7 linked regions of the Cricetulus griseus genome follow. The protein of the gene in region 1 interacts with the protein of each later gene in a biochemical or structural test. Links are inferred from orthologs where the notes say so. Each region holds a gene or a part of one and is shown in the gene's direction. Other genes may lie near its edges. The genes, in order: Prkn, Mfn2, Rnf41, Ube2g1, Pink1, Septin5 and Ube2v1.

Region 1 (2,175 bases):
ATTTGAAAATCATGAGTTTAATATGGCTCTATTTTTTTTTTTTAATGAAGAATCAGCAGGCTGTGAAACACACCATTTATGTCTGAGCACATGAGGGAAAGATGAGAAACTCAGACTGTGAATGGGATTTGTTCTGAAGGCAAAGAGCCCTTTGTCCATGTCATTATCTTATCTTTTCTCACTTGGGGGAGGGGGATGTTGCCTCCTGTTGTTTCTGATTATTCCCCCTGGCTCAGAGTCTCTCTGCCCTCCTTGCTGGGGATTTTTGGCTACAAGAGTCATTTCTGGGATGGCATGGGGGCAAGGGCTCCCCGTGTTTGCCACAAGCCCACAGCACCTGTATCCTTTGTACCCACAGGAGGATGTATGCACATGAAGTGTCCACAGCCTCAGTGCAGACTGGAGTGGTGCTGGAACTGCGGCTGTGAGTGGAACCGAGCCTGCATGGGTGATCACTGGTTCGACGTGTAGACAGACACTCAGGCACTGCCCCTGACCACACCTCCTTACGGGAAACACGTGGACTCCTGCCTTCTTAGCCATTTCGTCGTCTCTGGGCATATAAGCACATACAATGCACACGCACAAACACAGACTGCAAATTACAGACTCGGCCACTAGATCCTTTCCACAGGCACCCACGGAAGCCAGCAGCACCCACTAGGCACCCAGTGAGAGGCACTTTCGGGCCTCTGGCATATGCAACTATCCAACACTGGGAAGAGAGTGTAGCCCCTTGTTTTGGATTTCTCATCCCAGCAGGAATCCAGCCCTAGGGAGGGCTTTTCCAGGTTTAATTTCCCGACTTCACCTTCACTAAATCCATGTAGAAGCCTTAGGCGAAGCCACAGCTCTCCAAGGCTGTTGCCACGCTCTGTGTAAATTAGACTGCCGTGGAATCTCAAGAGCACACTCGAGATGTGAGGGACAGTGTTCTTACTCAGCAATCACCTATTCCCAGGGGGCCCTCCCCGGCAATAGTCAAAAATATTTGTTTATCCCCAAGAATCCTATCTTTATAAATGGTGCTGATGAGATGACAGCTCGGCGGCATACAAATCAACTTATCAACCAAGTGAGAAACTGGAAAACATAATTTGAATGCAGACTGTTTAAATTACAGTGAGGGCATCAAAGTGGAACCTACTTCCACTCGCTTAATTACCTGCAACTTTAGAAAGAAATTACTCTTTTTTTCCTGAAATTATTGCAAAGTCTGGAATTTGGTTTGAAGTATTCATATTGCAGCCTGGAAGTTTAGCCCATGCATTTGTCTTCACTGTGAACTTAATAGAAAAAGTGCCTATAAAGGGCATGTTTTTAGAAACAATCCCATGATGCTATTCCAACGCTAACAGCAGTGCAGGCCGGGTTTATATTTATGGAATATTTATAGAAGCGGCATTTCTAGATCAGCCACATGAGAACATGCCTGACCCTCCATCAGAAAGGGAGACACCTCTGTGTACTTACCCCCTAAGTCCCAGGGAGTCCCATGCACCCAGTGGTCCTACAGGCAGAACCTTTTGCGAAGGACAATAAACACACTAGAATATTCCTTAGGTAAATACACATCACATTTGAATGTTAAGTTTTCAAGATTTTATTTTTTCCTGTTGTGTTTCGTTTGGTTTGGTTTGTGAGGCACTCATAACACATAAAGCTGTTTCCACTAGGTACTGTGAGATGCAGTTTCTACTGCACCCTGTGCACAGGGGTGAGGCGTGGTCTCTGCCTTTCCCTCTCATTTGATTTTCTGACTTCTCAGGAGGCTGAGCTGGCAGCTGAGGGTCTCACTGGCCCCTGAGGCCCCTTGGGACTTAAGAGGCCTGAACCTTCTGAAATCAATAAGTAGATACAACCAACAGAATCCGATGCTGGTGGGAGAAGAGGCAGTGACCTCAGAATTTTCAGGTCATATCCCAAGAGCACCTGCTCCCCCACCCCAAGCAGCCTCACCCAGAACACTCCCCAGGAGCAGGCTTCCCTCCCCTTCCTCAGAGACACAGTACTGGAACAAGGCAGTAGTGTGAGAGGGGGCCACACAACATGACTTATCACCAACTGCTAGAAAATCCATCCTCTCCTTCATAATCCAGGGCTGCCAGACCCAAGTCCAGAAGCCAAAGATCAGATGGAAACGATGCTATGGTATCTTGTAGTGTGAGGCGAGGA
Region 2 (4,222 bases), about 280 Mb from region 1:
TGACTGTCCAGTCCAGAGTCTGTCATTACAGACAGAAGGCTGCCCTGTGGGCAGTAACTACAGCTTTCCCTGACTCACCTCCCTGGAGACTCAGAACTGGAGTGCTGACTTAACCTCTAAAGCTGTCTGAGGCATGACTGTACCCTGGCTATAGGGCAGTGCCAATCAGTGGAAAGCAACACGAGAGCTAGGTGTGGCGGTGAGTGACTACAGTCTTAGCCCTAGGGAAGTGGGCAGGAGGATCTTCTGTTCAAGGCTGGATTGGGCCACCTAGTGGGAACCCTGCCCCCAAAACAAACAAACAAGCAATGTAGTACTCACTACAAGGGCAGGCCACTTGGGTGATTTAAAATATTCAACTAGCCATATTATATGCTTTTAAATATTGTTTCCTATTTTTAGTTAATGTGTGTGAGTTCCCGCCTACATGTTTAAGAGTGCACCACACATGAGCCTGGTGCCCATGGAGGACAGAAGACGTCGGATCCTCTGGATTGTAGTTACAGATAGTTGTGAGCTGCCATGGGGTTCCGGGTTGTCTGTAAAAGCCACCTCCCTAGGCCCCAGCCATATTTACTTGTGTGTGTGGGATGGGGGGTGGATACACCAGGTCATGGTGCTTGTGTGAAGGTCAGAGAACAACTTTTCGGGAGTGGGTTTTTTCCTTCCACCCTATTGGTGGACATCTTTACCCACAGAGTCATTTTGTGAACTCCACGATTAGCTATCCTTTTAGAAGTAAAAAGAGACATGACTTTATATGAAATTGATAATGTATTTCATTTCGTTCAGTTTATCCAAAGCCTTAACAACATGTTATCAATATAAGAATATTAATGAGGTAGTTTGCATGTTTTCATATTTAGCACTGGGGAATCTCTCAGTTTGCAGTAGCTGCATTTCAGGGCCTCGGCAGCCAGGAGTGGCTGGTGGGCGATGTTACAGAACTCAGGCTTGGAGTCCTCCCAGCTTGGGATCGTCTGCTGTATTCTAGTTCCTGAGGTTGGGCAATCATGCCCTGAGTGTCCTGGAACTACTGTGAAAACTGAAAAATTGCATGTTCGATACTCAGCTCAGTGACCGGCACCTAGTAGGTGCCTGCATTGTGGCTGCTGTTTTGACTGCCTCAAAGGCAACTGAAGGACAATTACTTCACCCTAACGGTGAAGAGGCTTCCCTCAGATTATGAAATGTAAGTCTAGATTTCAAAACTGGCAGGTGTTACAGGGTCAAGTTCTGGAGTAACAAATGAAAACACACGCAAACCTTTAATCCACACCCCTGTCATCGTCGTCGTCCCTATGCTCCACCCACCCCCACGCTTGACAGCTCGAGGCTCCGCCCTACCCCGCCCTGCGCCGCGCTGATCCGAACTACAATTCCCATGATGCACTGGGAGCCCCCACCCAAAAATACGTCATCTGCATAGGACGCGGGACGGTTATCAGGCACGCGGAGGCACCTTTTGGAGCGTGGACCCTCTGGACGCTGCCGCGCTAGAGTGGTGGGGATGAAGTGACTGAGCTTCTGGGCCATCGGCTCATCTGGGCTGCGGTGGAGCGAGTGACGAGCGCAGTCCCCTCCCCTCCCTCTTCTCTTGGTGTGGCGACAGCTAGTGACGTCGTGGGTGTGATGGCCGCCGCGAGGCCGGGAAGGTGAAGGTGAGAGGGCGAGCGCGCCGGGGTGGTGGAACCGGCAGGCCCCCGCCGGGAGAGTCCTGAGCCGCCCAGCTTAGGACGCCGGGACGCTGGGGCCCCTGGGGCTCGGGCTCAGGCTCGGGTCACACGGGCGTTCCCCTGCCCCGGCCTCGCCGCCGAGCCCTCCTCGGCTCTGAAGAGGGGGCGGGCCGCAGGACCCAGGACTGGGAGGTGGGCTCCTCGAAGCTCCCGGCACCCCGGTCTTCCCTGCCCTGTGGTCACATTCCTGACCCCTGACCCTTTCCCAGTTTTCATCCTATACTTTTCTGTTTTCTTTTTGCCAGCATTCTTTTTTTTTTTTTTTTTCAGGACCCAGTTCACTGCCTACTCCGTTTATGGTGGAGGTCCTTTTACTTGTATGACTTCTCATTGCACGGTTAAGACCCTCGATGGTTGGAGCTATTCTTACCCGTCCCTGACCCTAGCACCTAGCACCTAGCACATTGAAGGCCTCAGAAAATACTGAAAAAGATAGCTGTTTGGGTGCAGAAAGGCAAAGCTGCTTGTAATACTCCTCTCTCACCCTGTTTGTTTACTTTCCCAGTCATCTCTGCCTACTTCCAGAAAAGGATTCTTGATTTTCCCCTTCTTGTCTTATGTTGGAAAACACAAGTGAGCTCTGGAGGCACAGTTAGTGTATCTTGGTCTCTAGCTTGGCCACTTGACTATATATATCTTCTCACTTGCTTCCCCCCCCCCCCCCAGGGTTTCTCTCTGTAGCCTTGTCTGTCCTGGAGCTCACTCTGTAGACCAGGCTGGCATTCAACTCACAGAGATCCATCTGTCTCCCAAGTGCTTGGGTTAAAGGCATGGGCCATCACCACTGGTGTTCCCACTTACTCTTAAGTGCAAGTTGATTCTATAGACTTGTGAATGGAACAGATTACTTTGTAGCAGCTGGGATAGACAGGCTTTCGATCAGGTCTGCTCTCTTCCTTTCCACACCCCTCCCACTGCTAGTTGACAGTTTCCAGGTCCTCAAGGCCGGGCCTTGTCCTGGTTGTCTCCCTCCTCTCTCCTCTGGATGTGCCTTTTCGAGGACCTCATTGGCGCCTTGCACTAGCACATGGCTAACAGTGTGTTTGTGCATGCCTGTGCTTTGTGTTCCTTGTCTCCACCCCCCCACACACACACACACCCTTCCTCACCTGCTCCTGAAGTACCTCAGTGAGTAAGCTTCCCTCAGGGATGAGTTAGTTTGGCTTTAATACTTGATTAGACATGCTTTGCACATCAGGTGGCATTTTTTCTTCCTGGTTGCCTATTGACCTCTCCCTTTTGCTTTCCAAAAGTGGGGACAGGTGGAGTCAACACCATCAGTGGCCAACCTGGACCTGAATCAACACAGAGGAGACCTCAAGTTCATTTCATCTTTTTGACTCCAGCCATGTCCAGGACGCCCACCCTGTGAAGGTCTCTTACCAGCTAAAAAGTAAGTGGAAGCTGTGGTTTGGGGCACCAGGGCCTGGCTCGAGAGTGAAAGAGCGTGTTCTGCTGGCTCTCGGGTGGCAGGTCTCTTGGATGGGATCCTGGAGCACAGAGCTGATGGCTTCCAACTTGTGTTGGAAGAAGCTGCTGTTTCTCCTTTCTGCTTCTGTGGCACTTCACTAGTTGACAGGTGAGAACATTGCTGGGATCTATCTCCTGGGGTCCCTGAAGCATTAGTCTCTTTCCCTTGTTTGTTCCTCTCTGTGTTGGCTCTTCTCTGTCTCTGCTTGGCAGAGGTTGGCTCCTTATCATGGCTCTAAGAGTTGGCTCTGTCCGTTACCCTGTGTACTCTTTTGTTTCAATTTCTCAGCTTCTCCTCTGCTCCAGTTTTGTCAGCAGACGATCTCTGGACCCATTTTATTTTCTCTGCTAGGAGTTGCTGTACATAAAACTGGGTAAGGAGGTGGTGTGGATTCAGAATTGCACCTCGGATCCAAACACCTTGCACTGAATTTTGCTGCTGCTGTGCAAACACCTAATACTTCCCCACTAATAGCCTGGGTTGAGGCAAAGCTTCTGATGGCCTTCAAGTGCTAATCCTGGCTTTTATTCAGAGTTGGGTTTGTTTCTGATTTAAATTAATATGCTATTACTGGGCTTTTGCAACTTCTGGGGGTGGGAGAAGTCTGTCAGATAATGAGTCTTTCCCTAAAGTGTGAGCCTTAGAGTTTTAAAGCCTGTTAGAAGTTTCTACTCACCCCATCCCTCCCTGCTTTCTTTTGAGAAAGGTAGGGCCACATGAACAGGTTGGCCTTGAACTCCCTGCTTAACTGAGGATGACCTTAAGCTCCTTTTTCGTGCTCTTTTCCTCAGATTTATTTATTTAGTGTGCATGTACGTCCCAGTGCACATGTGGAGGTCAGAGGACAACCTGTGGGAATTTGTTCCCTCTACCATGTGGGTTCAGATATTGGATTTAGGGTGTTAGGCAACAAGAACTTTTACCAGTGGTGGAGCCATCTCTCCATCCCAGCCTTGAACTGGTGATTCTCCTGCCTCCACCTCCCAAGTGCTAGGAGTACACTGTGTGCCACCAT
Region 3 (3,500 bases), on another chromosome or scaffold:
AGCCCTTCTGACACAGAAAGTGTGTTGGCCTCTGAACCCAGCCCCTCTGACATAGAAAGTGCGGTGGCCTCTGAACCCAGCCCTTCTGACAAAGTGTGGTGGCCTCTGAACCCAGCCCTTCTGACACAGCTACTTCAAGGACAGGGTAACCTACATGTGACTTTGTTTCAAAAAACATAAGGGCAAAAGTTTTGAGAAGTACCATACATAATGTTGAGGATTTAGTTTTTCATTTTAATTTTATTTGTTCATAAATAGCTTTTTTATTAGTGTATTTTATATCCTCTTAGTTAACACTTTATCATTTATTATTTTGTGTATGTCAATAGGCACGGGTGTGCCATGGCACACGTGGAGGCCAAAAGACAATCTCACCTGCTGAGCCATCTCCCCAGTCCTGTGTCTCAGTCTCTGAGAAATCAAACCTGAGCCTGTGAGATGGGTTGAAGCACATTCCACACGAGCCTGATGACCTGAGTTCACTCTGTGGAACCCACGGTGGATGGAGCTCCATGGTTCATATGCGCTTGCACTAACACACCCCAAATGTAGGCACACACAATAAATCAAAGGTACACTGTTGCCCATTGCTGGCTGCCAAAAAGTGTCTTCACAGGGACCAGGGAACCTTCTCAAAGGAATAAGTACATCTTTATATATGGGGTTGCTTTGGGGTTTTTTTGTTTTGTTTTGTTTTGTTTTTTGTTTTGTTTTTCTAGACAGGGTTTCTCTGTGTCATTTGGAGCGAGTTTGGCACTCGCTCTGGAGAACAGGCTGGCCTCGAACTCACAGAGATCCGCCTGCCTCTGCCTCCCGAGTGCTGGGATTAAAGGCTTGCACCACCAACGCCCGGCGCAATAGCATTTTTAACCCTTCTGGCTTGCTTTGGTTTTTGAATCAGGGTATGGTTGTGTAATCGCAGTAAGTAGCCTGGAACTTAGTTTACACTTCTGAGTGCCGGGAGCTGAGTGTGCCCCACACACACACACCCACCCCCACCCCAACCATGAACTTAAAACTGAGAACAGCGCTGTCCCTCAAATGCACTAGTCCTGTTTAGCAGCCTAAGTGTAGCAGTTGTGAATCAGCGGCAACACCTCAGGGAAAGGGTAGGACAAGCCTGAGAGAGAAGAACTGGAGTCTACACAGAGAACCCGCTTAGCTCTCAGACTTTTCCCCACTTTAGCTACTTGCTTTGTTGTTGGGTCTTTTGTTTTCTTTTCATTCTTTAAAAATATTTTTTATCTGAGAGAATAAGAAAGAAAAAATATTTTTTATTTGGAGGGGGAGGGAATTTCACATGTATTTAGGTTCCTGATGGTGTCAAAAGTTTCAAGGGATGATGTCATCCCCTGAAATGGAAGTTAGAGTTTATTGTGAGCTGCTGCCATGTGGGTGCTGGGAACTGAACTTGGGTCCTCTGGAAGAGCAGCCAGGGCTGTTAACTGCTGAATCATCTCTCCAGCCCCTGTTTGTTTGTTTAGGGGTTGAGAGTGACAGTTTGTTGAGACAAGGTCTCACTGTATAGACTGGGCTGGCATGGAACTTAAAGAGATCTGCCTGCTTCCCAAGAGATGGGAGTAGAGGTGTGCACCACCACACCCGGATTTTTTTACTTACATTTACTTATTTATTCAGTGTGTGTGTGTGTGTGTGTGTGAGTGTGTGTGTACGGGCAGTCCATGGAACCATGTGGATCCTAAGGATCTAACTCAGGCTTGGTAGCAACTGAGTCATCTCACCAGCCCCATTTGTTTTCTGGGGTAATAAGGTCTTCCCATATAGGGCAGGCATGTACGAGACCTCTGCGTCAGTCCATGTATTGCCACGAGGCGCTCTTGTACTCTGTCTCTCTTTTCTATTTATTTGTTGAGTTTTTTTTTTTTAAAGATTTTATTTATTATGTATATAACATTCTGCCTCCGTGTATGCCTGCACATGAGAAGATGGCACTATAGATGGTCATGAGCCACCATGTGGTTGCTGGGAATCGAACTCAGGACCTCTGGAAGAGCATTCAGTGCTCTTAACCTCTAAGCCATGTCTCCAGCCCCCTTGGGTTTTTTGTTTGTTTGTTTGTTTTCTTTTTCTGTTTTTTTTTTTTTTTGGGGGGGGGGAGACAGGGTCTTTCTGTAGCTTTGGAGCCTGTCCTGGAACTCATTCTGTAGACCAGGTTGGCCTCGAACTCACAGAGTTCCGCCTGTCTCTGTCTTCTGGGTGATGGGATGTGGGGGTGGGGTGGGGGAGTGTAGAGGACTGGCAGGTCTTGTACTCCATTATTCCTGCTGTGGTTAGTGAGGCTTTGCCCCTCTAAACTGCATCTGAATCATTCTTGAAGACCTCTCCATAAGGAAGTGCTGTGGAAAGAGCATGCCTGCCTCTAGATGTCATTAGCAGTTATTGCGTTTGCACTTGTGTCAGCAATTAGTAACTGGCTGCCTTGTCATCGTCCCATTGTCCTGGAATGTTATTTATGTCTCTTACTGTTACATAACCTTTGCTTGTTTATCTTGTCTCACAACTCATTTGAACTCTTGAGCACAGGAACTGAGTTTTACGCCTGACCCGAAAATGCCCTGCCCCAAATAGATCTGCAATTTACCATGACACCTGGAGCTCTGGTCCTAGGACCTGCTCAGAGGTTTGACTGGCTCGTCAGTAGATCCAGGCTCTCAGCTCCTGTTAACTCCCTTGTGTCCCTCCTAGGCACCTCACTGTGAGCATGCCTTCTGCAACGCCTGCATCACCCAGTGGTTCTCTCAGCAGCAGACGTGCCCGGTAGACCGTAGTGTTGTCACGGTTGCCCACCTACGCCCAGTACCTCGGATCATGCGGAACATGTTGTCAAAGCTACAGATTGCCTGTGACAACGCTGTGTTTGGCTGCAGTGCTGTTGTCCGGCTTGACAACCTCATGTCCCACCTCAGTGACTGTGAGCACAACCCGAAGCGGCCTGTGACCTGTGACCAGGGCTGTGGGTGAGAGTCCTTCCCTCCATTCAGATAAGGGCTCTTCCCATTCCCATGCCTGTAGGCCAGGGACACTTCTGAGCTTCTTGACTCCCTGCTGGCCCTCAGATCTCACTTTCCAACTAGGGTCATTTTGGTCTTGCATTGTTAACAGAAAGAGGACAGTAACCCAGTGACCTCTGATAACACTTAAGATGGAGGCACTTTTCCTTTCTCTCCAGTCCAATATACTCTCTCTGTCAGGCTGCCTGCTCCAGTTTCTAGCCTCTCATGTTCCCTTGTGCCCTATTTTCTGTCTGTGTGAGGTGGGAAATACTTGATTAAGCGCTGGTAGGTACCTGGGACAGTGATCCAGGACTCCTCAGAAGTAATATGTATGAGTGCAGGTAGAATCCAACAGAGTAGCCTGACAGGACACAGCAATTCCCCTCTTAATTTAGAACAGCATCCTAAGAATCAGGCTGGCTCTTAAAAGCTGGAGAAGACAGCAATGGGGGGTGGGAGTGGGGCTGTGTGACTTCCAGTTGGTAG
Region 4 (4,290 bases), on another chromosome or scaffold:
GTGCACGCCTTGTAGAGGGAAATGGTTTTCTGGGTTTGAGGAGAGCCTGTCTGCAGAGTAGTTACAGGGCATTCAGGGCTACACAGAAATCTTGTCTCAAAAAACCAAACCAAATCAAGCAAAACCCCGAAATTACCAAATTGGCTTAGTTCCTAATTTGTTGGTGGTATTCACTCAATGCTTATTTTATCCTTTGGTCTGATAGGACGGTGCTAGGGAGGTAACCTAGGGTCTTGTGCCTGCTAGTGCATTAATTTTTGTAACAAACCTGTTGAAATCTGCTTCTCTTGTTCACTTTACGAAGCTTCAGGCCTTTGTGGGTAGGAATTTCCTATGCAGTTTTTGTTTTCTATAGTCCAGGTACACGGAACTAAGGATTGAATAAACACTTACTGAAAGAACAAACAAAACTGTCATTGTTATTTTTCCTTCCCCTTTCTCATCTCTTTATTGCTATGGTGTTGACAGCACAAAACTTTGAAATGGAGGGGGTATTATATAGCTGGATAAGGTTTATTTTGCCTAACCTTAGGTTTCACACTAGGACTTTACATTGTAGGTGCCTTTCTGGACAGTTTTATCTATTATGGATTCCATCCCCAGGCAGAGACTGGGTATCACTATGTAATAAAGGCGGGGGTCCTCTCTCAATCCCCCTGCCTCAGCCTCAGTGTTGGGACTACAGGGGTAAACCACCCACCCAAACAACCGAGTATCAGATGGTGCTAATCACAACTGCGCACTTTACTCAGTCTTACTATTTAAACAGTCTGTGAGAGTCAGAACATTTTATTTCAAGGATCATTCTGTGTATTCTTTATGAATTTTCATCATGCTTAAAATGGGGCACACAGGTACTAAATTCGGCTTTGTAACAATGACTAATTCGCACACCTCGTATTAAGTGTTAGATGGCTGCTGGGTGCTCGCTAACAACTTGCTATCTACCCCTTCTGGTCCCATCACTCTCAGACCTCCAGCTTACATCGGGAGGCAGCGTCCTGACCCTCCGCGACCTCTTTGTCATGGCGTCCGCGGGGCGTCTACCAGCCGAGGCTTCCGCAGCCAGGCGGGCGTGGACCTTCCCAAGATGGCCGTGCTGGGCCCACAGCGCGCGGTGGGCGGGGTTCCGCCGCCGGAGGCGGGGCAGCAGGGCCGAGGGGTCGGGCTAGCAGGCGTGCGGCTTCTGAAGTAGGCAGGCTCAGCGCGCTTGCGCGGAGCGGCCCTACGCGCAGTGAGGCAGTGGCGGGGGAAGGCACCGGTGGGGCCGACGGGCGGGCTGAGGAGGGAAGCGGGCGAGCGAAGTCCCAGTGCGCGCCGCGGCGGCCGGGGTACCCTCCCCTTCCGGGCGTGAGGCGCTGAGAGGAAAGCGGAGCGGAGCGGACTCGCATCGGCAGCGAGGTGCTTCTCGGGGTGCCCCAGACCGGCCTCCCGCGGCTTCGGCGCTCCAGTCGCGGGGCCCGGGTTCCTCCACACACCTAGCTCCAGCCGCCGTCAGAGCTTGTCCCCAGTTCCTCGAAGCCCCGGCGGCAGCCTGGGCTCTCGGCGGGGAGGATGACGGAGCTGCAGTCTGCGCTGCTACTGCGAAGACAGCTGGCAGGTGAGCGGCGGGGCGCCGGGCCGCGATCGCGGACTGACGAGCCACTCGCCTCCTGTCGCCCGCTCGGAGGCAGGGTGGTGGAGGGCCGCGGGCCGCGAGGGTGGGAGCCCGCGGGTCTCGGCCGGCCGGCGACACTTCTGGCCCGGCTGTGGAGGGTGTTGGGGGCGGGGACGCGCCCCAGCCTCGCCCTCGGACGGGCCGGGCGCCCAAGGCGGCTGCCCCCTCCCCCACAGAGCTGGGGCGTTGCGGGGGAGGGGCGTGGGTCCCGGCCGGGCCGACCCTCCCTGAGGGGCGGATCCCGGGCTCAGGTGCGGCGGAGGCCCCGGGACCTCAGGGACCCCGGGAGCGTGCGGGCCCCGCGCGACTGAGAGTCCGAGCGATGGCTGGGGCCGGATAGGGGAGGCGCGCCAAACTTCTGGCTCGGCAGCACGGGGTCCGCGGAGTTAGGGCGGACAACAAAAGCGACGGCCGGGCTGGCCTGGGTACTGGGCGCGGGGCGCCGAGGACTCGGCGGGGCGCGCGACTCCGCTTCGCCTGCCTCCGCCTGGCACGAGCTCGGGCTGCGCCGCCCGTCTGGGGGAGGGTGGGCGCGGGCGCTAAGGAGAGCCGCTCGCTGGCCGGCCGGGGCTTTGTGCTCGGCGCGGCTCCGGCTCCGGCGCAGGCCCGCAGCCACCGGGCTGTGGCCCGCCTTAGGTTCTGGCCAGGGGCGGCGGCTAAGTGCCTCCCCCGTGGAGTCTCTGTCCCCCCCTCCCCCATTGTCCCGGCCTCCGGCCGTTTGCGGCTTCCAGGTTGACTTTTTAGGGGGTTGGCTCCTACTCTGCTAGGACTGTGTGAGCGGAGCATGCGCGCTGGAGGCGTACGTGTGCGGAGTGGAAGGAGGGGGGAGGGAGGAGGCGGGTTGGTGGCTTCACAATGCCGCCCCACGTGCTGCCAGATTTAAAGAGAAATGAACCGGTAGTTACCCCTGCTGTCCAACGCCAAGCTTGTGCCTTGCTTGGTTCAGGCGATCTTACCCCTCCTCAACCTGTAGCCAGCCCTCCCATCCCCGCCCTCCTCCGGCGAAGCGCTGAAAGCTGGAAATGAAGATAAATGAAATAAATTTCTGTGAGTGAGGTGTCAGTTAAATCACCTTTATGGCTTCTTAAGGAAAAGATCCACAAGGACAGTTACAGATTGTATAATTATGTTTATTATTAGATCATGAGCTAGCAGGTTTGGACAAGTATTAAAATTGTAGATGGGAAAGTGATTTGAAGTGAATGGAAAAGTGTATACCCATCAGAAATATTATGCTCTAAAGAAGTGGAACTTATTTCATCTTACTTAAAAACATTCTTTTACTGTGGTTTTTCCTCCCTTAATTTTGTTTTGGGAGAAGAAATTCAGATTATGTCTCCTTAAGAATTGTTTTTTAAATACCACAATAGTGAATTCCAGGACAGTCACGGCTATGTAGAGAAACCCTGTCTCAAAAAACAAACAAAAAACATTAAACAAAATCCCAACTTTATCTGAATAAGTTTTTTTTTTTAATGTAGCAAATCATTAAGTAGTAAGTTCTAAATACTAAAACAGAAGTCTTACATAATGGAAGTGACATGCATCCTAAAAAGTGCAAAAGATTTTAACAGTACTACTATGTTAAACCATACCATGTCTGGTGGCGGTGACACATGCCTTTAATTCCAGCACTTAGGAAGCAGAAGTTGGTGGATCTCTTTGAGTTCTAGGCCATACAGGTCCACAGAGCAAGGTTCCAGGACAGCCAGGGCTACACAGAGAAACTCAGTCTTGAAAAACCAAACCAAGCCAAAACTAATACCTATTTGTGAACACAATCTTTTTTTTTTTTTTTCTCAAGTTGTTTCTCTATGGAGCCTTTGGCTGTCCTGGAACTCACAGATCTGTCAGCCTCCTGGTCTTCCAAATGCTGGGGTTTGAGTCCTTGTCACCATACCTGACTTGTGCTTCTTTTTTATTCTTCACAGAAATAATAGACAAAACAGTCTTCAAAGGTTTTTAACCAATGGTTAATTTTTTTTTTTTTTGATGCGGTATTCTAAAATACACAGTGAGAGAATAGAAAATGATTAACTTTTCAGGCTTTCTTATAAAGATTCTTTGCTTTCTTGATCAGAGACAATGTAATAATGTAGTCTTTTTTTTGTTTTGTTTTGTTTTTCGAGACAGGTTTTCTCTGTGTAGCTTTGGAGCCTAACCTGGCACTAGCTCTGTAGACCAGGCTGGTCTCAAACTCACAGAGATCCGTCTGCCTCTGTCTCCCGAGTGCTGGGATTAAAAGCATGTGCCACCAACGCCAGGCATAAAGTCATTTTTTAAGGGATTTTAATTAATTTGCTCAAAGTGTGTGGTACAAGGTTTGTTAGTTGAAATGTGAAAATATTAATTTGGGAAGACTTGATAAGCATCTAAAAATAAAGACACCAAGATGCTTACCTTAGTAGCAATTTTTAAATGAGTTTTCCAGTATCACTTGAAAACAGTAAAGACTGTTTTTTTCTTTTTTAAAAGATTTTATTTATTTTGTATATTTTTCTGCCTGCATGCTAGCAAAGGGCACCAGATCTCATTTAAGGTGATTGTGAGCTACCACGTGGTTGCTGGGAATTGAACTCAGGATCTCTGGAAGAACAGTCAGTGCTATTAACCTCTGAGCCATCTCTCCAGCC
Region 5 (4,130 bases), about 270 Mb from region 1:
AACAAATCCTGCTGGGGATGGAGCTGCGTGGGTGGAGAGCCAGCAAATGAAACCTTGGGCTCCATCCCCAGCACTGCACCCTGCAGCTGGGTAAGATCCTCTAATCCCAGCACTGGGGAGGTGGCCACCACAAAATCTTTATTGAAATAGTGTACTCAGGGTCTGGGGCTCAGTGGTAGAGCATGTTTCAGAAGGGGACTGTGGGGAAGATAGAAAATTGCACTACACATATCTGAGTGTACAGTGAGCTTTCATCTCATAGGCACAGGTCATGAAAGAGGTCACCAGCATCCAAAAGACTCTTCATGTCCCTCTAGTAACTGCCCACCCAAGGAGCCTCAGTGGCCTGACCCCTAACACTATAGATCAGTCTCACTGCCTTTGAACATTATGTAAACTGAATAACAACATTTGTCCTCTTATTCTTTTTTTTTTTTTTCCAAGACAGGGCTGCTCTGTGTAACAGCCCTGGCTGTCCTGGAACTTGCTCTGTAGACCAGGCTGGCTCTGCCTCCCAAGTACTGGGATTACAGGTGTGTGCCACCACTGCCCAGCCAATAGCATACATCTTAAATACACACACTTTGTATCTACCATTCAAATACAGATACCTTTGCAATTGCCTGATTTCTATAGGTAAACTTCACACACACACACACACACACACACACACACGTAAAGTTTGCTTTGCAAACATAAGAACCAGAGTTAGACTTGGGAGGCAGAGGCAGATGGATCTTAATGGATAAGCCATCTCTCCAGCCTCGGGGGATTTTGTTTGTTTGTTTGTTCTTTTTAAATCTGGAAAGCTGAGTGTGGTGGCACATGCCTTTAATTCCAGCACTCAGTAGGCATAAATTGTGACCTTTGGGCCAGATCTCCCTCCTAGTCCTAAGAAGCCATGGAACCTGCGACCTGTACAGGAACATGAGTGCACTTGGGGGTGAGGAAGAAGAGACAAAGCCCTCAACAGCTAGGGCAGCTTGAACTTCAACCTGAGCTCTAATACTTCCATGCAATCTGGGAAACACAGCACTCTCTAATCTACAAATTTGGCACGCTTATATCATTATTGGGTAAGTTTAAAAGTGTAAAGGGCCTGGACCGGTGGTTGATAACAGATGCTAGTTTACCGGATCAATTTCTTACGTTAACCAGGACCAGTGAAGTTTTTGCAACCTCTGTACCAGGGTTCAAAGTGCAAACCAGCCAGACTAGGAGAGACGCAGATGAGCACACAGCGCCCTCGTGCACCGAGCAGGAGAACTGCCGCGGCCCCGCCCCCCGCGCTTGCGCATAGGCTCCGCCCCGAAGTTTGTTGTCCTCGGTCTCTGGGACGTTTGTGGCGGTGGCAGCGGGATCCGGTCGCCGCGCCACCATGGCGGTGCGACAGGCGCTGGGCCGAGGCCTGCAACTGGGTCGGGCACTGCTGCTGCGCTTCGCGGCCAAGCCCGGCCCGATCTCGGGCTTGGGAAGGCCCGGCCCCGCGGCAGCCTGGGGCCGCGGAGAGCGCCCGGGCCGGGCGGCGGGCCCCAGAGCACAGCCGGGCCCGCTCGGGCTCCCCCTTCCCGATCGCTACCGCTTCTTCCGCCAGTCGGTGGCTGGGCTGGCGGCGCGGATCCAGCGACAATTCGTGGTGCGGGCCCGGGGCGGGGCGGGCCCTTGCGGCCGAGCAGCCTTCCTGGCCTTCGGGCTGGGGCTGGGGCTGATCGAGGAGAAGCAGGCGGAGGGCCGGCGGGCCGCCTCGGCCTGTCAGGAGATCCAGGTGAGCACAGCGGAGGGCGGGGAGCCGGGGGAGCGGCCAGCAGCCTGCCCAGAGCTCCGCCTTTAGGCCAGACGGGGCGGGGAGAGGGCGGGGCCTGCGCCAGGAGGAGGCGGGGTTAGGAAAGTGGTCGCGAGTGGGGCCGGGCCGGGGGCGGGACCTGATCCCTAGGGGCGGAGCTACAACTAAAGTGGCGCTAGGATCAGGCAAGGCTAGGATCTGGGCCTGGAATCCGGCCAGGACCTGAGGCCAGAGGGAGAGGCTACAGCTAGAACTACAGCTGGAAGCAGGGGCGTGGAGGTTCCTCGAGTCCGGAGGAAATAGGGAACGCTGGTTTAGGGTGGAGGCATGGCCGGGAGCAGGTCTAGAAAGCGGTTCTTGAACCATTAAGTTTGTTCCGCATCAGGGGCGGAACTAGCTGGACCGTTGTGGAGTCAGGCTCTGAGCCTTAGTGTAGGGTTAGGTCTGAGGATGAAGACTGAGATAGGGCGTGAGCATTGGGAAGAGCAGGGCAATTCAAGGTGTGGGGTACTCGCCGACTGTACTAAGTGGTGGGTGGCATCTTTTAGTTATGTGTCTAGAAGCATGTCATGAGGGCATACCTAGACCTGGTAGTGGGGGTGAGTCGAGGGATAAGGCAAAGATTAAGGTCTATTTTTTGGGGGGGGTTGGTTTTTTTGTTTTTTGAGACAGGGTTTCTCTGTGTAGCTTTGGAACCCATCCTGAATTCACAGAGATCTGCCTGCCTCTGCCTGGGATTAAAGGCGTGTGCCACCAACGCCCGGCCTGATTAAGGTCTATCTTTGACTGAACTGTAAAATGGAAATCATCAATTAAGTCTGACTTACTTCCAGTTACTGATGGCCTGATATGCCAGCACTTTGCATTTCTTTTACAAACAGTATTTTTTTAACAAGAGGTATTGCCAATTGTCCTGTTGCATTGTGGCAAGTGACTTTGAGTAATTTTTTTTTCTTCTTTTGGGGCGTGAGGAGGGGGATGGCCCTGACTTGTAAATGTAGCCCAGGGTGGCCTCAACTTCTGGCCTTCCTATCTCCATTTTCCAAGTGCTGGGATTATTGGCATGTGCCACTATGCTTTGAATACACTTTCTAAAATGACAATACTCCCATCCCTTGATGTAGTTGCCATCCTGATTTATGGAGGGCACATATTCAAAAAAGGTGAGATGACTTACTCAAAGTCACACTGCTGGTAAAGGCAGTGCCCAAAGCCCAAAGCCCGCCCTCTCAAAGCCTGTGCCCTCTGCTAGAGAATTCATCACATCTACTGTTTTAGTTAGCCACAGTGGGGTTATCACTGGATACGTGGGAGTTCTTCGGCCTTTTAAACTCTTAAAAGAGCACATTGACCTCTCTTTCTACTCACAAAATCTTCTAGTCAAGGTCACCCAGACAAAACCAATAGGATGCGTATATTTAGAGATTGGGACTTATTCTGAGCACTTGGCTCATGCTGGGCTGGCAGGCCCAGAGAAGAGCTGGCTGTGCAGTTCAAGTCTTTAGGTTGTCAGCTGCCAGAACTCAGCCTTCTGGGAGGCCAGCCTTTTTCCTGGGGTTTAAAACCACTTGCTGAGTGAGTGTAGCCCCTGCATTTTACAGAGTCGGGCTGAGGGGTCAAAGACATGGATCAAAGAAAGACCTAGCAAGCATTTCCTCTACTTCCTGTTCCTAATACTGGGACCCCATTCCTGTGTCTTACATAACTACATAGTGAGACCCTGGCCCAAGCAAGCAAACAAACAAATAGAAAAAGATATGAATACAGGTGACAGACAGGTAAGAGTATGTGACGATTTTCAACACCTCTGGCCATTTGATAAGTGCACATTAAAATGAGAGAGGTATCCGTGCACACTTACTATAATGATTAAGATAAAAACAAGGACAATAGCAGATGCCGGTGAAGGTGGGGAAATGGGATCTCATGCCGTCACAAATGCAAGTGATACAAAATTAAATTTGTATTTACCACACCAGCCTGTCATTGCAGTCATCAGCATCTACTTCGGGAAACAGAAGCATTCATCCAAAAACCTGAGTGCTGCAGTAACTATGGAAAACAGTAGCCCTAACCCTCAAAAGAGCTCAAAACAGAATCACTGTCTAGTATCCATGGATACTTGACTAGTGGACAGAATGCATAGACTTTTATGCATGTAAGCTCTAGGCAGCTTATTTACAGTAGCCAAGGGGTAGTAGAAGTGACCCTGTGTCCATCAGTGGTGTATATTATTCCACCTTTGAAAAGGAAGGGCATTCTGTAACCTGCTGCAAATGGATAAACCTTGAAGACAGTTGGTGCTACCACTGTATAGGTATTGCCATTGGGAAAGCTGGGGAAAGGG
Region 6 (4,083 bases), on another chromosome or scaffold:
CTCCTCCCAAGGTGCCAACCACCCTTGGGCCCCATAGCAAGAGCCAGGATGGAGGCCCCTCCAAGAAGCCACTGTGGAGAGCCTTCCTGGGAAAGGGTGGTACCTGCATGAGGAAGGGAGGTCTCCTGGTCCTTTGGCACTAGTGTAGTTTCTTGACCTCCTTCCCCCCCCCCCGGGGGGGGGGAACTGGTGTGCTCTGATTCTAGTGGGGTTGAAAGTGAGGCATGAGGAAAGGTCGGTGGGTCATAGAATTTGGCTTCCCAGTTAGTTCATCAGCACCCTGAAATTCCAGGGGCTCGTGGTGCATGTTGTGGGCAGAGGTTATGCCTAGCTGCGGCCTGACCAGTGCTTCCAAGCTAGGAAGGAAGGGGACCATCCGAACTCTGACCACTGCATCCCCTCACGCCCTTTTGTTTGTTTTTTGAGACAGGGTTTCTCTGTGTGGCCCTAGCTATCCTGGAACTCACTTTGTAGACCAGGCTGGGCCTCGAACTCACAGAGATGGAGGAGTGCTGGGATTAAAAGGGAGCAACACTCGCCCAGCCTCCTGCCCCTCCCCCCACTAGGCTAAGCAGAGGGGAGAGCCAGATCCAGACTTAGTAAGGAAGGTGCATATGAAGATGCCACGCGGGTAAAGAATTCCCCTAATCACAGGCACACATACACGTGGGGGGGTGTTAGAAAAGAGTGAGCCCCAAGGAGCGAGGAGGGGTGTGTCTGTGGGTAGTTTGGTCGCCATGGCAAGGCTGGAGGGGTTTCGGGTGAAGTACGAGGAGAGCAAGGTGTTGGCTGGGGCCGCTTCCCGCGCGGGTGCGCGTGGGTCCGGAGCGTTCCGCAGCGCCCTCTGGTGGGAGGCAGCCGCGCGGCGTCCGGGAGGCAGGTCGGCGACCGCAGCCACCTCGCCGGCCGCCTGCGGACCGTCTGGACCCGGCCTCGGGTGCCACGGCTGCGTTCCGGATCCACGCGGCGCCCCCGCCCGCGCGCCTCTGCTGGGCCCTGCCCTCCGCAGCCGTTTTCTCAAGGCTCCGCCTGCGGCCCAATTTCCAAGCGACTGTTTCCCGGCGACGGCGGGCGGGGCGGTCCCTGCCACCGCTGCCGGGAGCCCGCGAAGCCCCGCCTCGGGCTCCAGTGCGCGAGCCGCTGCTGAGCGTCTTCGCGGCCACAGCTCGCGGCTGAGACAGGGGAATGGCTCGCACGACTTCTGAGGTCAGCGGCCTACCAGGTAGGCGACGCTCCCTCTCCCGGCCTCAGTTCTTGTGTCTCCAAAACCCGAGCCAGAAGAGGGCTTAAGAGCAAATTTACCCAGCGCGAGTCGCTCGAGATCGCTGGCCCCGACTGGCCTGACCCCGGTGTAGGGTCGGCGGGGCCCGCAGGGTCGCAGCGATGGACTCACTGGCAGCACCCCAGGACCGCCTGGTGGAGCAGCTGCTGTCGCCGCGCACCCAGGCCCAGAGGCGGCTCAAGGTGTGTGTGTGTGTCTGTGTGGAGAGAGGGTGGAATGTGGGTCATGTGTGCACGCGCTTGGCCAGGACCACCCAGCTACCAGAGAACGTAACAGGGGCTCCCAGGGCAGATGTCCACTAAGGATGGGTGCAGGCACCGCAGACCCTGCGGCGGGGGAGGCTCGGTACTGCAGTCTATAAATAGCCCCTGCTCGGATGCTGCTTCAAGAACCACCACCCCCAAGCTTGGATCTGGGCCAAACAAGCCACCCACCCCGGATACTCTGGGGATGAGTTTGTGCTGAGGTCTGGCTGCTTCCACCTATGGAGGTCCTTGAATGTGTCTGAGGGGTCTCAGAACTGATTCCCACCATCCACCTGGAGGGACACCCCTGTGCGGCTGACATTCCTTCTTCTCCACCCCAGTCTTGGGTCTCTGCTGGGGCTGGGGCAGGGATGCTTTTCCTGCCACCCCCTCACCTCCCTCCCTCCTTCCAGCCTTTGCTCCACAGCCCTCACCCCATTTTTGCTGAGGAAGTGCCCCTTGCTGGGGCTATGCTATCTGCTCATCTGAGCCATATAAGAGACAGGGTCTTGGGTTGCCACCAAAGATCTAGGATATACCTCTGACCTGCCCCAATCCTACCCCTGCCCTCAGGACATCGACAAGCAGTACGTTGGCTTTGCCACACTGCCCAATCAGGTGCACCGAAAGTCAGTGAAGAAGGGCTTCGACTTCACCCTCATGGTGGCTGGTGAGTGACCAAACTTCTGGGTGGAGTCTCTGAGGCCATGGGTCAGCTCAGATCTAACCCAGCTCTTTCACTGTCCCCTGTGGCCAGGTGAGTCGGGCCTGGGGAAGTCGACTCTTGTCCACAGCCTCTTTCTGACTGACTTATACAAGGACCGGAAGCTTCTGAGCGCTGAGGGTGAGTGGCCAACCATACAGTCCTCACTAATGTGCTCATCCCTGCCCTGAGAAACCTCACAGAGCACCCTTCCACTCTGCTTGAGGCATGGGTTCTTATTTGGGGATGAGGAGTGGCCCAGAACATAGAGTCAGGCTGAGACTTAGGCGAAGGCACCAGGGTGGGTAAGAATAAGGCTCCCTGCTGCCCCCCCCAAAAGTGAAGGTGAAGATGGCCTGAAAACACTGTCTCTCCTTCCTTCCTCTGCAGAACGCATCAACCAGACAGTCGAGATTCTGAAACACACCGTTGACATTGAGGAGAAGGGAGTCAAGTTGAAGCTCACCATTGTGGACACACCCGGCTTTGGTGATGCTGTGAACAACTCTGAGTGGTAAGGAACAATTTCTCTGCCCCAACCACCACTACCTAGCTGCTCTCAGAGCTGGCTTCATTCTTCCTCCACTTTCAGTTGGAAGCCCATCACCGACTATGTGGACCAGCAGTTTGAGCAGTATTTCCGAGATGAAAGTGGCCTCAACCGGAAGAATATCCAAGACAACCGGGTGCACTGCTGCCTGTACTTTATCTCCCCCTTTGGACACGGGTATGTGGCCGTCCCAGTGCCTGGCTCAGGGTGGGTGTTCCTATCACTGCCTCCGACAACGCCAGTCTCCAACCTATCTCTGCAGATTGCGGCCAGTGGATGTGGGTTTCATGAAGGCCCTGCATGAGAAGGTGAACATCGTTCCACTTATTGCCAAAGCTGACTGCCTGGTTCCCAGTGAGATCCGTAAGCTGAAGGATAGGGTGAGTCTTCGACAGCTAAGGGGGCACCTAGCCAAAAACTACAGGGGAGCTGGTCCGTGCTGAGTTTAACAACTCTTGCCCTACTACTGCAGATACGGGAAGAGATTGACAAGTTTGGGATCCATGTGTACCAGTTTCCAGAATGTGATTCAGATGAAGATGAAGACTTCAAGCAACAGGACCGGGAACTGAAGGTGAGCAAGTAGCCAGGAGGGGTGAGGGCAAAGGAGGTTGCTGGGACAAAGCACTGGAGGCCACCCAGGCCCTGGGGGAAGGCTAAGCACCCAGGTCCAGCATGATCAAGGCAAGAATCATTTGTTCCCTTGTCCCAAGGGCTACAGGTTAAGGTCACATGTATCGCTGTCTAGTCTGCAGTGAATTGTTTGGACCTCCCCTGGGCTTACTAGAGCACTTAATTGGTACCATTCTGGCCCGCTTTCCAAGAATCAGCACAGTGGCTCAGAGCTGTGTCAAGCCCTACTTGCTGAGATTCTGTGCTCTAGAGGGCAGAGGGTGGTGGCTTTGAATATCCTAGAGACTAGAAAAGGTATGACACAAAGATAAGCCAGGAACTCGGAGCCCCTGGGCCAGGAGCAGATGGGCAGGGGCATCCACCAGTAAGCCTGGTCTTGACTTTGACTTGAAAGATGGAGGAAATTCTGGGAACCATTCGTAGCCAGAGAAGTGCACAGTCTGGCAGAGCCCCAAGGCTTTGAGCTATGCAGAGTTTGTGGCTTTAGTGGGTAACAGAGGCACCCAGAAGCGGGGCCATCCCAGTTGGAAGGGTGGTGGTGGCCGTGCTGGAATGGCCATGCCCCCTCAGCCTCTTACAGCACTGGGCGGGTCTCTGCTCCCCCTTCCCCAGGAAAGTGCGCCCTTCGCTGTTATCGGCAGCAACACCGTGGTGGAGGCAAAGGGGCAGC
Region 7 (3,500 bases), on another chromosome or scaffold:
AGAGCTGGAAGAAGGCCAGAAAGGAGTAGGCGACGGCACAGTTAGCTGGGGTCTAGAGGACGACGAGGACATGACACTTACGAGATGGACAGGGATGATAATTGGGCCTCCAAGAGTAAGCACCACACTATGCTGTGACTCTCATTGTCTTAAGTTCACTGTGCCTCCTTTTAAAGCAATGGTAGCCTTGTTGGTAAACGTTCACCAACGGTGTTTTCTGAAATGTGGTTGTTCTTTCTCTGGCCAGTTTTCCTTTTCTACGTTTGAGACCCTCTGGTGAGGTCAAACCCTGTTGGGTAAGTGAATCCTGTGTAGTCAGTAGTGTGAATTTACATGACAGTGTAGACAGGGGCCTTTGAGCTTGCCGATCCCCAGGCCGAAGTTCAGGATGGTCTCTGAGCACCTGGACTGCCAGCAACCCCCTGGAGCAGCACCACAACTGCTCTACCTGGCTAGGCCTACTGCTTGTCACTGAGCACAGTTCTCTTTCCACCTGTCGGCTCTGCTGGCTCCACTCTGGTTTGTGAGGCCCTGGCCAGTTGTGTTTGAAGGTACATGGTTAGCCCCCTAGAAGTGTATTTAGTGCTCACAAAGTTGTTGTCAGGTCCTCCTACATCACCACATTCCAGGTCACAGGTGGGGAAGCTGTCCCAGGAGTGAAGTCACCTGCCCAGTCACAGAGCTGAGCACTCCCAGCCTGGGTCTGTTTGCCAAGCCTGTGTCCTCCTGCCCACTAGGCCACGCTGACAGGCTTCCACTTGAGGCTGAGTTTACAGTGGTCAGCACTGGGGTGGTCGATGTTTACTACTTGGTGCAGGAGAGGATCTGGGAAGACCCTCAAATGGGACAGTCCTGCAGATGAGCCCTGGGAGGTGTGGCCTGAATGTGGCTAGGCCTGTCTAGTTTGTTTGTGCCTCGGGGAGACAGCTTCCTTCCTTTTCAGCTTGAGCAAGGTGCTGCCTGTGCACTTTGGAGATAGGAGGACTCCAGCTGTGGACAGCGGGAACTGACACCTGCCTCAGGCTCATTAGCATTCAGATACTTGAGTTCAACTTAGAGGGTCGTTGACACTATTGGGGAACGACCAACCTTGCACTTTACTGTTGCTCCCTAAGTCATTTTTGCAATTCTGATGCCAGGTGTGGATAGTTAACGTGTGCAATGTGGTTGTGCCCATTTCCCTTGTCCCTGTGACAGCAGCTTACTGACTTGTAGAGTACTGGGGATGCACGTGTAGATGGCTCTGCAGACGTTTTTACTAAGAGGGTCCAGCCTCCAGAGTCCTTCTCCCCAGAGCACCTGCTGCAGATGGTTCAGGGGCCACTTCACTGGCTTCCAGGCTCAGGAGGCTGAGGCGGCATGTGAAGCCCGGAGCCACCACTGCCCTGGATGAGGAGGGCTCAACAGTTCAACAGGCATTTGCCATGGCTACAGTTGCCGGAATCCTAGCGTGTGGTGGTGGAGGCAGAAGGCTCAGACGGTTGTGGAGATTTTTAGCAACCGGGGAATTTCGGGTCAGTGTGTGTCCTTGACGCCATCTCAGAAGATGGCTCAGAGGTTAAGAGCACTCATTACTCTTGCAGAGGACTCAGGTTCCATTCCCAGGACCCATGTGATGGCTCACAAACATCCATGACTGCAGCTCCAGGACACATACATGTGAACTAAACAAAGGACAGATGGACAAAAATCCAAAGCAGCCCATAAATGATACCAAAAATAGGGGCTGGAGAGATGGCTCAGAGGTTAAGAGTACCGACTGCTCTTCCAGAGGTCCTGAGTTCAATTCCCAGCAACCACATGGTGGCTCACCACCATCCGTTATGAGATCTGGTGCCCTCTTCTGGTGTGCAGATTTACATGGAAGCAGAATGTTTTATACATAATAAATAAATAAATAAATAAATAAATAAATAAATAAAATCTTTGAAAAAAATGATGCCAAAAATACTCTGCTCTGCCTGAATGCAGGCTGGGTGTGGTACAGAACACACCTGCAAACTAGGTGAGGCACCAGTGCTGCGAGTTCATGGCAACTTGGGCTCCATACCAAGATCCTGTCTCTGACACACAAAAAGAAAACTGCTTGGGTTGTCCTGAACTTGAGTTTACCCTTTGCTAAAGGGTGTAAAGCTGAAGCTGCTAGAGCGCTGGGTACTTTCTGTGTGCTAATTAATGTACATACTTGTAGTGCAGCCCAGGTGTTACAGATCCACCTTAGGACCTCACAAAGGCTTGCTAGGCAAACCATGAATCATGCCACTGAGCCACACCCCAAACGTGCCTGCACAGCTTATTTACAACGGGGTCTTGAGCCAGGGTGGTGGCTCAGACGTATAATCCCAGCTCTTGGGAGGTTGGGGCAGGAGGCTCACTATTGGTTGTAAGACAAACAGAATCTTGCTTTGCAGACCAAAGCTACCCTTAAACTTGGCATTTTCCTGTCCCAGCCTCCCAAATGCTGGGACCTAGAGCTTTGCACAAGGCAAGCAGGTGCTCTACCACTGAGCTATATCTATTGGGCTTTCTTATTTTAATTATGTGTGTTTGGTTTACATGTGTGCATGCATCTGCAGATATCCAAGGAAGCTAGAGGTATTGGATTCCCCCTGGAGCTGGACTTAACAGGAGGCTGTGATCTGCTGCCAGGGGTGCTGGGAACCAAGCGGGTCCTCTTCAAGAACAGTATGGGCTCTTTAACAGATAAGCCCTTGATCCTTGATTTGGAGATACATTTTGATAATGTAGTACAGGCTGGCCTCAGACTCAAGATTCTACTACTTGTGTTTCTGATGTACTGAGATTACATTTATGTCACCATGCTTGGCTTAGAGTGTGTTTGTAACATATATAATCTGCAAGTTTTTATTATTGACTTTTCTCAGTACTCTGACACAGTACCTGACAAGGAGACTGCTGGTCACACGGCATCCTTAGGCAGGGAGAGAACACTGGGAGTGGGCACTCAGCAAGCGTCCTCCCTCGTGTGCTCTGGGGCCCAGGCTGCGATGATCCTGCAACATCCAGGGTAGTTCAGTGGGTAGAGCACTTACTGCTAAGCCTGGCGGGCGGGCGGGCAGACATGCATACACGCGCGCACACACATACACACTAATGAACAGCATCCAGTTAACAAGACCACCACAGTATCTGTTACTTAAAATTGTGTTACTTTCATCATTGTGAAGAACTGTTGGTGTTGACTTCTTCCCCTCCCACCCTGAGTTGCAGATAGAGCTCTGTGGTGCTACTGACTCTGAGGCCTCAGTTTGTAGCAGAGCCCTATAGCACCCACAGTACTTTGTGCCCTTGCACTGCCAGGAGGACCCATTCTGGGTGTGCCTATTTAGTTTACCCACTCATTGTTTGTAGCAGTGGGACCAATACTGATGGCGTGTGGTGGAAGTTTTTCTGTGGACTGCTGTTTTCAATTCTTTGGGGTATGTACCTAGGACTGGCATTGCCAGATTAGGTGGCAGCTGTTCCTCATCTGTGGAACT

What was found.
Region 2: of the proteins of Prkn (region 1) and Mfn2, one has a biochemical effect on the other in vitro, tested with the Homo sapiens proteins (2 studies listed by BioGRID). The link is inferred for Cricetulus griseus from reciprocal best matches to the Homo sapiens genes PRKN and MFN2.
Region 3: the proteins of Prkn (region 1) and Rnf41 form a complex in vitro, tested with the Homo sapiens proteins (2 studies listed by BioGRID, with this or other methods). The link is inferred for Cricetulus griseus from reciprocal best matches to the Homo sapiens genes PRKN and RNF41.
Region 4: the proteins of Prkn (region 1) and Ube2g1 form a complex in vitro, tested with the Homo sapiens proteins (5 studies listed by BioGRID). The link is inferred for Cricetulus griseus from reciprocal best matches to the Homo sapiens genes PRKN and UBE2G1.
Region 5: of the proteins of Prkn (region 1) and Pink1, one has a biochemical effect on the other in vitro, tested with the Homo sapiens proteins (12 studies listed by BioGRID, with this or other methods). The link is inferred for Cricetulus griseus from reciprocal best matches to the Homo sapiens genes PRKN and PINK1.
Region 6: of the proteins of Prkn (region 1) and Septin5, one has a biochemical effect on the other in vitro, tested with the Homo sapiens proteins (2 studies listed by BioGRID). The link is inferred for Cricetulus griseus from reciprocal best matches to the Homo sapiens genes PRKN and SEPTIN5.
Region 7: the proteins of Prkn (region 1) and Ube2v1 form a complex in vitro, tested with the Homo sapiens proteins (4 studies listed by BioGRID). The link is inferred for Cricetulus griseus from reciprocal best matches to the Homo sapiens genes PRKN and UBE2V1.

Annotation. Positions count from the first base shown.
Region 1 is NC_048595.1:288,897,095-288,899,269, reverse strand, and holds the end of Prkn (E3 ubiquitin-protein ligase parkin), read left to right. Parts: intron 1-358; coding exon 359-471; 3' UTR 472-1,675; downstream 1,676-2,175. UniProt on the Homo sapiens protein: Functions within a multiprotein E3 ubiquitin ligase complex, catalyzing the covalent attachment of ubiquitin moieties onto substrate proteins. Substrates include SYT11 and VDAC1.
Region 2 is NC_048595.1:8,557,832-8,562,053, forward strand, and holds the start of Mfn2 (mitofusin-2), read left to right. Parts: upstream 1-1,422; 5' UTR 1,423-1,661; intron 1,662-1,730; exon of another isoform or gene 1,731-1,868; intron 1,869-2,006; 5' UTR 2,007-2,041; exon of another isoform or gene 2,042-2,073; intron 2,074-2,989; 5' UTR 2,990-3,129; intron 3,130-4,222. UniProt on the Homo sapiens protein: Mitochondrial outer membrane GTPase that mediates mitochondrial clustering and fusion. Mitochondria are highly dynamic organelles, and their morphology is determined by the equilibrium between mitochondrial fusion and fission events.
Region 3 is NW_023276806.1:129,453,660-129,457,159, reverse strand, and holds part of Rnf41 (E3 ubiquitin-protein ligase NRDP1), read left to right. Parts: intron 1-2,706; coding exon 2,707-2,978; intron 2,979-3,500. UniProt on the Homo sapiens protein: Acts as E3 ubiquitin-protein ligase and regulates the degradation of target proteins. Polyubiquitinates MYD88. Negatively regulates MYD88-dependent production of pro-inflammatory cytokines.
Region 4 is NC_048600.1:86,427,238-86,431,527, forward strand, and holds the start of Ube2g1 (ubiquitin-conjugating enzyme E2 G1), read left to right. Parts: upstream 1-1,490; 5' UTR 1,491-1,554; coding exon 1,555-1,600; intron 1,601-4,290. UniProt on the Homo sapiens protein: Accepts ubiquitin from the E1 complex and catalyzes its covalent attachment to other proteins. In vitro catalyzes 'Lys-48'-, as well as 'Lys-63'-linked polyubiquitination. May be involved in degradation of muscle-specific proteins.
Region 5 is NC_048595.1:15,026,234-15,030,363, forward strand, and holds the start of Pink1 (serine/threonine-protein kinase PINK1, mitochondrial), read left to right. Parts: upstream 1-1,330; 5' UTR 1,331-1,378; coding exon 1,379-1,765; intron 1,766-4,130. UniProt on the Homo sapiens protein: Serine/threonine-protein kinase which acts as a sensor of mitochondrial damage and protects against mitochondrial dysfunction during cellular stress.
Region 6 is NC_048597.1:70,618,431-70,622,513, forward strand, and holds the start of Septin5 (septin-5), read left to right. Parts: upstream 1-1,283; 5' UTR 1,284-1,383; coding exon 1,384-1,464; intron 1,465-2,100; coding exon 2,101-2,197; intron 2,198-2,284; coding exon 2,285-2,371; intron 2,372-2,620; coding exon 2,621-2,744; intron 2,745-2,822; coding exon 2,823-2,957; intron 2,958-3,042; coding exon 3,043-3,160; intron 3,161-3,252; coding exon 3,253-3,354; intron 3,355-4,025; coding exon 4,026-4,083. UniProt on the Homo sapiens protein: Filament-forming cytoskeletal GTPase. May play a role in cytokinesis. May play a role in platelet secretion.
Region 7 is NC_048599.1:11,798,126-11,801,625, forward strand, and holds part of Ube2v1 (ubiquitin-conjugating enzyme E2 variant 1), read left to right. Parts: coding exon 1-115; intron 116-3,500. UniProt on the Homo sapiens protein: Has no ubiquitin ligase activity on its own. The UBE2V1-UBE2N heterodimer catalyzes the synthesis of non-canonical poly-ubiquitin chains that are linked through Lys-63.